Linked DNA regions of Sus scrofa. Each later gene encodes a partner of the first gene's protein in a complex. Links are inferred from orthologs where the notes say so. Each region holds a gene or a part of one and is shown on either strand. Other genes may lie near its edges.

The links. Proteins that work in one complex are often made in the same cells at the same time.
Region 2: BNIP1 (region 1) and BET1L share a complex: the UniProt entries of both Homo sapiens proteins name them as parts of the SNARE complex. The link is inferred for Sus scrofa from reciprocal best matches to the Homo sapiens genes BNIP1 and BET1L.

What each region holds. Positions count from the first base shown.
Region 1 is NC_010458.4:51,137,228-51,141,701, forward strand, and holds the start of BNIP1 (vesicle transport protein SEC20), read right to left. Parts: upstream 3,163-4,474; 5' UTR 2,888-3,162; coding exon 2,804-2,887; intron 2,461-2,803; exon of another isoform or gene 1,219-2,460; intron 362-1,218; coding exon 269-361; intron 1-268. UniProt on the Homo sapiens protein: As part of a SNARE complex may be involved in endoplasmic reticulum membranes fusion and be required for the maintenance of endoplasmic reticulum organization. Also plays a role in apoptosis.
Region 2 is NC_010444.4:27,660-32,203, forward strand, and holds the start of BET1L (BET1-like protein), read right to left. Parts: upstream 2,803-4,544; 5' UTR 2,448-2,802; coding exon 2,390-2,447; intron 1,699-2,389; coding exon 1,607-1,698; intron 1,368-1,606; coding exon 1,311-1,367; intron 1,188-1,310; coding exon 1,020-1,187; 3' UTR 1,000-1,019; exon of another isoform or gene 1-999. UniProt on the Homo sapiens protein: Vesicle SNARE required for targeting and fusion of retrograde transport vesicles with the Golgi complex. Required for the integrity of the Golgi complex.

The DNA of each region.
Region 1 (4,474 bases):
AACAGCACATATACCCTAGTTGAATTCAAGACTGTTACATAAGCATATGATGCGACTAGAGACACAGAAACAGAGAGGAAGAGGCCAAAGTGACAGTATGAAAAAAAAAACCATTACCAGATAATTGTAATGAATTGAGGTGGATGGGTTAGAGAGAGGGGTAGAGAAAAGAAAGTTAATTCAAGTGATCTCTGAGTCTTCAAGTTGAAAAATTCCAAGGACAATGAATGCTGCCCAGTCTCAGCATCCCTGCTCTGCGGACACTTACCTGTATTCTGTGCCGCAACTGTTGAAATTTTTCTTTCACTTTAGTATTCAGTTCCGTAAGTGCACTTAAGGGTCCTGAACAATCTCGAATATCCTAGGAAAAAGTGAAGAGATGAGGGAGCCTTTCTCAAGGCAATGAAATGAAACGACACCAGCTGTACCGTGAGAGAGTTGGCTTAGGTCACAACTAAGTTTGGCCTACTAACTGAAATTCATCCTGATCTTTGATGTTTACCTCTACAACACAAGCAAAAACAATGTAATTTACATTTTTCTCATCCCGCTTTAGATAACTTCTCAGCAAGTAACATAAAAGCACAGATAGAAACACAACTCTATCTTGACCTATTAGTTCCTGAAGTTTACCAAAACTCCATTCAGCCATTATGAAAGACTTAAAGCAACTTGTGACAGGAATGGACATCTAAAAGACAGACTGTAGCTTTACTTTAATGGTGGGGGGCACTCCTATGGCATATGGAGGTTCCCAGGCTAGGGGTCCAATGGGAGCTACAGCTGCCAGCCTACGCCCACAGTCACAGCAACAGAGGATCTGAGCAGCGTCTGTGACCTACAGCACAGCTCACAGCAACGCCAGATCCTTAACCCACTGAGTGAGGCCAGGGATTGAACTCACAACCTCATGGTTCCTAGTCGGATTCATTTCCACTGCGCTACAATGGGAACTCTGACGTATTATAACATTAGACTGTAATGTTACATGGTTCCAACTTAAAAGTCAGGATGCGGAGTTCCCGTCGTGGCGCAGTGGTTAACGAATCCGACTAGGAACCATGAGGTTACGGGTTTGGTCCCTGCCCTTGCTCAGTGAGTTAACGATCCGGCGTTGCCGTGAGCTGTGGTGTAGGATGCAGACGCGGCTCGGATCCCATGTTGCTGTGGCTCTGGCATAGGCCGGTGGCTACAGCTCCGATTGGACCTCTAGCCTGGGAACCTCCATATGCCGCGGGAGCGGCCCAAAGAAATAGCAAAAAGACCAAAAAAAAAGTCAGGATGCTAATATTTGGCATTATATGACAAGATTAACTTCTTGATCTAATTTTATAAACCCTCTATTGTAAGTCACTGTTTATAAACATGCTCAAAGATAGATTTAGAATTTGCTTCTGGACATTCAGAATTTCCAGGGCCAGGTTTTAAAGCAGGCCCTAGGATATATTATGTACATTCAAATTCTGGTTGTAGCAATTATAAGCTGTTTTATTTTACCTTGAAAAAGTTACTGAGTCCTATGTGCCTTAGTTTCCTCATCCCAACATTACCTACTTCATAGATCAGGTATGTAGTAAAGGGTTTAGCAGAGGAGTTGGAACACAGTAAGAATGCGCTAACTCTAGCTATGATCAACTGTTCTCATCACAAGAACAAAGAGAGCTAGAGAGTGCCCAAAAGGGCTTAAGCAATATAGATTATGTGAAAAGACAGTTTCGTTTGTTTTATGACTCCTCAACTTATTTTTCTAAAATTGGCCCAGAGGTTTGTAGTTTATACATCGGAAACATGAAGTTCAAGAGTTTAACTGTTTGCATCAAGTTGCCTCACTTGTTCTATGGATTATGCATTAAATCACACTTCTTTGCTCCATATAATAAACTATTAATTTGGTTTATTTTGCATTTGGCTTCTGTGGGGAGCCTTATTTTCCTCCACCTTTTACCACAGTTGGCTGCAAATTCTCAGTCTACATCCAACGTTTAGTAACGTTTGTTGTAAATGGAAACGATCTGCCTCAAATGAAGATTTTAAACTCTTGGTTTCCTTTTGCTAAACTCAAGTAACCATTTCTACATTCCTAACTCTTGCCTATGCCAAGGGGTTTATTGTTATCTTCTACCCTCAAACGGCCTAAAACAAAGGACCTCAATTACCCCATCTGTTAAACGAAGTAGACTCAAGTCTTTTTTCTATACTGACTTTCCCTGTCCGACCCCAGTTTTGCCATTATCTGCCCTCTGACCCAGGCCTTGGCCCTTGACTCGATTTCCTAATTTACAAATCACAACGTCCAGGTTACGTTCACTTCATCCAGTGCCTCCCGCGCCAAGGGGCCTTTGGTGACCCGGGACATCAGACCCACGGAACTGGCCACAGGGGCCGGGGTTAACGGCCCCCAGGACTCTACCAAAGGATGGAAAGGGCGGTGTCAGAAGGCAGGGCCAAGCAGGATGACAGGTAAATTGGAGACTGGGGCAGGGCGAGGAAACGGCCGGAGTGGGGCAGGGGCCACAAAAAGGTAGCCAGGCCTGAGGCGGAGGCTGGGGAAGGGAGAGGGAGAGGAGAGGCCTTGGAGAGGGCGAGCCAACGGGAGCCGGAAGAAGGATCAAGGAGAAGAGTCCAGGGGATGAAGGGAACGGGACCAAAAGGGGAGCAGCTAGGAAAAGGGGGCGGGGCCAGCGACCTCGGAGACTTGACCAGATGGGGAAAGCTCAGCAGTGAGACCGCCGAGCTGAAAGAAAACCAAAACCACTTGGGTTTCGGGCCGCTGGTCCCCATTGGGGGTCCTGGGAATTAGTACCTGAATAAGCGCCTTCACTTCCAGGTCGAATTTAACAATCTCTTGGTTACAGATCCGTACGTGGACATCCTGGGGAGCCGCCATGTTGGGGAATGCTGACTACGGACAGCCGCGGGGCCCAAGTTCCAACGCGTTTTCTCCCGGCCTCCCTTCCTTCCCGGCCGGGCCTTGGGGCAGCGCCCCCTAAAGACCGGCCTGCGGCGAGCGAGGGCGGCGGCGCAGTGGTGGGGACTTTCCCTGACACGTGGGCGCGCACTCAGTCGGCCTGTTGGTGTGGATCTAGTTAAGAGAGAGAGAGAGAGAGAGAGAGAGCGAGAGCGAGAGCGAGAGCCGAGGGTATTATCGAGAACGCTTTAACGGTGATCCCTCCGCATACTCCGCCCATCAGCCACTCTAAAGAATGCGGGGTTTTTTGCATGGGGGCGGGGGGTGGGGGGAACCGCTGGAAGAAAAGTATCAACTGGGATATCTCTGAAAGGTATAATTAACAATTGTTTACACTTTTTTAAACTTTCTTGTATTTTCATATTTTCTACAGTGAATATAAATTGTGGAATGAAAGAAAAAAATGACAAACGTTGTTACACTTTTTTAAATATACGAAATTCAAGGCAAGTCCCTAGGGAATCTTCTGTTAGTCCAGCTTGAGTGCTAGGGATCTTTGCGTCTAAAATGCGCAACTGGTAAGTCACATTCCAGTTTATACCCCTTCTCTGCTCCTGGCGGTTCCCTTTTGTGTACAATTAGATTTATTAAATAATTTACCTGGCTGGAGTAGTTTTGATGGAAATAACAACCTGGCTGTTGTCTCTCTCTCAACAGACAGAGAGTCTTTCACTTTATTTTTCTTATAAAATAGTCCAAGTTTCTTAACTTGGCCCTCAAGACCATCAGCTACCCCACCCAGCGCCCCCGCCCCCCTTGCATTCTTCAAGCTCTTTTTGGGTCCGTAGTTGTGGGGTTTTTGTTTTGTTTTTTGGGTGGTTTCTCTTTGGCTGTGCCTGGGACATGTGGAAGTTCCTGGGCCAGGGATTGAACCTTTGCCGGAGCAGCAACCCCAGCCATTGCAGTGACAGTGCTGGATGCTTAACACCCTGAGCAAATGGGAAGTCTGGATCTGTAGTTGTGGAATGTGCTTTTCTCCTTCTTAGAATGCTTTTCCCCACTTGCCCTCACCCCATTCACCTTTGTTCTGCAATCATAGACTGGGAAAAACTGAGTGTCAGCTGTTGCCCTTTAGCCTCACAACCACCCTTGAAATAGGTAATAACCCAGTTTCACAGTTCGGGAGTTGGACTAAGGCCAGATCAAAACAAAACAAAAAACGAGTTCCCGTCGTGGCTCAGTGGTTAACGAATCCGACTAGGAACCATGAGGTTTTGAATTTGATCTCTGGCTTTGCTCTGTGGGTTAAGGATCTGGCATTGCAGTGGGCTGTTGTGTAGGTCGCAGACGAGGCTCAGATCTGGTGTTGCTGTGGCTCTGGTGTAGGCTGCGGTCTGGGAACCGATGAGGGGTCCAGTTAGACCTCTACCCTGGGAACCTCCACATGCCGTGGGTACGGCCCTAGAAAAGACAAAAAAGACAAAAACAGAACAAAACATCCTTGCCCCAAGGTTGCCCAAATTAAAAGTGGCAGAGCCTTAAGTGAAAGCCCTATCTTCCTTCCCT
Region 2 (4,544 bases), on another chromosome or scaffold:
GACCCATTGGTTTGGAAGAAACTGCAGTTCACCTTGTGTGAGCAGGAGACTGACCAGTGGGCACTGAGGGCCCAAGGAGAGATGGGCAGATACTGTAGGTGGAAGGGCCAGACTCGGTGGAAACTGTCCGCGGACCCTCAAAAAGCGACCTACAGATCCTATGAAAAGCTGTTACCTGGAAGCCTCCAGGCTGTACCCACAGAGGCCCCTGCTCACACCCTGCCTGACTCTGACATGCCAGATGAGCCTCTTTCTAGAGATCTGGGCTCCTGGAAACGTGTCTCGGTGCTGGACAGACCCTGAATCCTGAGAAAAGGTCAGTTTCTGCTCCTGGACACAGGGAGACCAGGAGGACCTGGGCCCGCGTCTTCAGCCAATGCTGCAGTTCACTTCTCCACGCATGGCCACTGCCCTTCCCTGAGGGTCGGGCTCCAGCCATGGGGTTGGACGGCAGGCAGACACCTCTCGGCAGGACCCTTGACTCTTGCTGGTCCACCAGTGCCCGGCAGCCCTGGCCAGGAGCAACGGCCATCTCTGGTTTGAGGACCCTTGGCTGAAAGTGACAGCAATGATTCGAGGTTCACAGTCGCACCCCTTCCTGTGTCGGCTCTGGGCACCTCGAATACCAGACGTGGCCTTATCCAGACCAAGACCAAGCAGAGAAGCCTCAATACATCAGAACCCTGAGGGCTGGGGGAAGGGCTGCTGGTCACAGGTGGTCACGTCCAGGATTCCCAGCTGCTCTGCTCCAACCTGGCTCTGCTAGGGCTTCTAGCACCCAAGATGGCAGAGGAAGCTGGGCCTTGGTTACCCAATGGGGATGGGCCCCTTGCACACATGGGACCAGCTAACATGAGCTTACTGGGTCAGAGGCTCCCAGCCACACAGGAAAAAGATTCCTAAGCCATGCTCATCACTTCGAAGGGGTATTTTGTAGGTAGATCTTCTGGAGCCCAGGACACAAGGCAGAGGAAGACCCTGGTTGTCCCAGGTACCTACAGAAACCAGTTCCCACTGGCTCACGTCCTTGCCCTTGACAGGAGGTAGGAGAGGATGAAGAAGACCACGATCAGGCCCATGGCCACACCACAGAGAAGCTTCCGGTTGTCTCGCCCAGATCTCGCCATTGTGGAAAAGCGCTTCACACTCCCCGTGAGGAGGCCCGTCACACTCGTGAAATCCGAGTCCTAAGGGAGGAATCCTAGCATTGTCACACGGGGCAGCAACTCCACAGCACACACACGCGGGGGGGGGGGGGGGGGTGCCTGCAGGGCAGGTAACGTGGGGCCGAGAACACCGCAGACCCTTACCATGCCGTCCAGGTACCGGTTCTGGTCCTCCACATCCCTATCAATGTCCAAGGCCAGCTGCTCAGGACACAGAGGGGACAGGGTCAGGCCAGGACAAAAATAACGGACTGTTCCTAACCCCCCACGGCATCAGCAGAGGTCAGGAGATCCAAATGTCACCTGGGCCAGCACAGGTGAGTGCTGCCATGTACGGGACAAAGAGAGAACTATCTGGACCCCTTCCAGGCCTCCACCCTCCCTCTGACGCCCTCCTCCAGAAGGCCAGATGGAGGTGAAAGGAGAGGACCACCACTGACCGACTTGAGCCTGGTGACCTTGGAGGCCAAGGTGTCCGCCATCCGCTTGTTCTCCCGGTCTAGAATCTCCTCCACAGCGCCGGGGCTCTGAGCTGTGAGAAGAGACAGAGAGGGGGTGAGAGTGTGCACCCACCCACGCGCACCCTCTTGACCTCTGCCCTCAGGGCTCTCACTCCAATTCCATCTAGTCCAGGGGGACTGGGCTTTCCTGTGTCTGCTGAACAGGTCCTGCCCTAACCCAGGGTCCAAAGCGTGAACTTCACACACGAGACAGCCGCGTGAAGGACAGCGTGCGAGAGCACTTGTTCTGTGTAGGCATCCAAGCCCGGATGGGTGGGCAGCACCTTCTGATACTCTGTGACAAAACCTGTACCATCCCCTCTGGATGGACTGGTATGTCAGCCCAGATGTCACCAGCGACGTAGAGGGGACCTGTTCTCAGAGAAAACCAGTAAACTCTGGCAAGGACTTAGGAAAAAGTCATGAACAGAAGGGGAGGTCGATCTCACGAGCAGGGCATAGATCTGCTCAGCTCTGCATCCTACACAGAGCCTTACACAACACCCAGAGCAGTGGTTGCTGAGACCTGGCCCAGGACAGGGGCTGGGACTTATGACTTGACTTGGTATAACCATCCTATCAAGTAGATGAGAACTGCCTCCCCAAGTTCACAGGCCAGATTTGCCGTGGGCCAGATGTCTCAGGGAGGCTCATCTAATAGGATCACAACCCTAGAAATCATGGATGTGTAAAGATGCCACGAGATGTTAGCATCCTACCAACCGCTTTCATCCATTAAATCTGTAAATGCCGCAAGCCCAGCGGAAACAAGCATCAGCATCCCACTTCGCAGATAAGAACAGGGGTTCCCAGAGGGCAAGTGGGCCACTCCCAGCCCCAGTCGGTACGAGGCCTTCTTGGGCCATCACGCGCAGCCCTCACTCCTTGGGGCTGGCCTCCGGAACAGTCGACCAGCCCGTCTGGCTGAGGTCCCGTGCAGAACAGTCTCACGAGGGCGGAAGGGGTGGGGACAGCGGACATCCGGACCCCGCAGCTTCACCGAGAAGCCGGGCAAGACCGCCCGAGGGCCCCACCCACGCCGCCCTGGCTCCGCCTGTTCTCAGTGTCTGCCGGCCAAAGCCACCCAGAGAGGCGGGGGCGGGCGAAAGCGACTCCTGCAGGCAGCGGCATCGGTTCCAGCACCGCCGCCACCTGCCTCCGCTCCCCAATGCTCACCCCGAGCCCAGTCCGCCATCGCGCCCAGCACGGACCCGCAGAGCTACAGCCTCCCGGGATGTGGCGCAGCCGTCGGGGAGGGACTTCCCGTCCCGCCCCTTCCGCCCGGGGCCCTCCAACTTCCGGCCGAGCGGGCGAGCGGGCTGGACGGAGAAGAACTGACGTTTCCTCCACCGCCTGCCTTGTGAACAGGGCCGCTGGTTCGCTCCTGGGACTGCTGGAAGGTTATCGTTTTTAATAGCATCATGGTGCCGACAGACAATTCCGCGGCCATTCCTGCCGAAGGCGGTGTCAAATCCTAACTGGAAAGAGCTCACGGCCCTTTCTCAGGCGAGAGAGGCTCCTCGCGGCGACACGGCCCGGGGTCCGAGGCCCGCCCGGCTGCGGTGCGGTTAAGGCGAGGACTCGGTGTGAAGCACGCTCCAGATGCTGCCGGCGGGATAAAGAGGGGATCAGTGCCTGGAACAAGCGAGCGCTGCAAAAATCTCAGGGATGAAGCACTTGAAGGAAAACGGGAAATCAGGAAGAAGAGTGGGAGCGTGAGGGGAGTTAGGGGCAGGAGGAGCCGGTGCTGCGACCTTGCACCCGGGCACTGACAAGGGGTCTGGCACAAAATAGATGCTCAACAAAGGCTTGTTGCGCAGTGGGTGGAGTATATGTTATTCACCCACTGTAATGGAGCATTCACTCTGTGTCGTTTAGTGCTGACAACCCACCGAAATGGGACCTTTTATCATCTCTGCTTTTCAAAAGAGGGAACTGGGTCCAGGCCAGAAGATGTGTCTGCTTACACAGCCAGGAAGTCCCTGCACATGATCAGGCTTTGCCTTCATCCTGACCTGGACCTTCCCTCCCCACTCTCCCCTGTCTCTCAGCCCCAACAATGATCTCTTTCTCCTACAACGGCCATTCCCACCTTTACTCTGCCGGCTCCTTCGGCCTTGAATGAACTTCCCCCACATCCCTTCCTGGCTCACTTCTTCCTCTGGTCTCAGCAAAAGCGACACTTATTCAAATCCCCTTGGAGCCCATCAGGCCCCTTTTTCAATCACAGCACTATGACTGCTTAAAGTCTTCCCGTTTTCCCGTTTTTGTTTTCACCTCTGCAATATAAGCTCCACGAAGGCAAGGACCTGTGGGTTCTGTTCACCCACATCCTGGTTCCTTGCATGCTGTAGGCCCTCAAACGCCTGCTTAATAAACAAAGTGGTCCCGGGGCTGCAAAGTCCTTTCCACTTCGTCTTTCCTCGGAACATCTCATTCGTTCTGTACATCAAGAGGGGTGTAGTGTGCGTGTAATAGCGGGGTGAGAAGCTAAGGCCCTCTCCCGTAGGGAATTCACTGCTCGGAGCCGGAGCGATTCAGGCCCGTGGTCGGATAACCACTGAGTCGGACACTGAAAGGCAACGTGACTAGACATCAAAGCCTTTAAATTCCCGAGGGCTCTTCTAGGCCTCTCCACTTTAAGGCGCGCGCAGCCCGGGCCCCCGCCCCGCGCGGCGCCGCGCGCAGCCCGGGCCCCCGCCCCGCGCGGCGCCGCGCGCAGCCCGGGCCCCCGCCCCGCGCGGCGCCGCGCGCAGCCCGGGCCCCCGCCCCGCGCGGCGCCGCGCGCAGCCCGGGCCCCCGCCCCGCGCGGCGCCGCGCGCAGCCCGGGCCCCCGCCCGCGCGGCGCCGCGCACGCCCCTTCCCGGCCTCCCCCGCG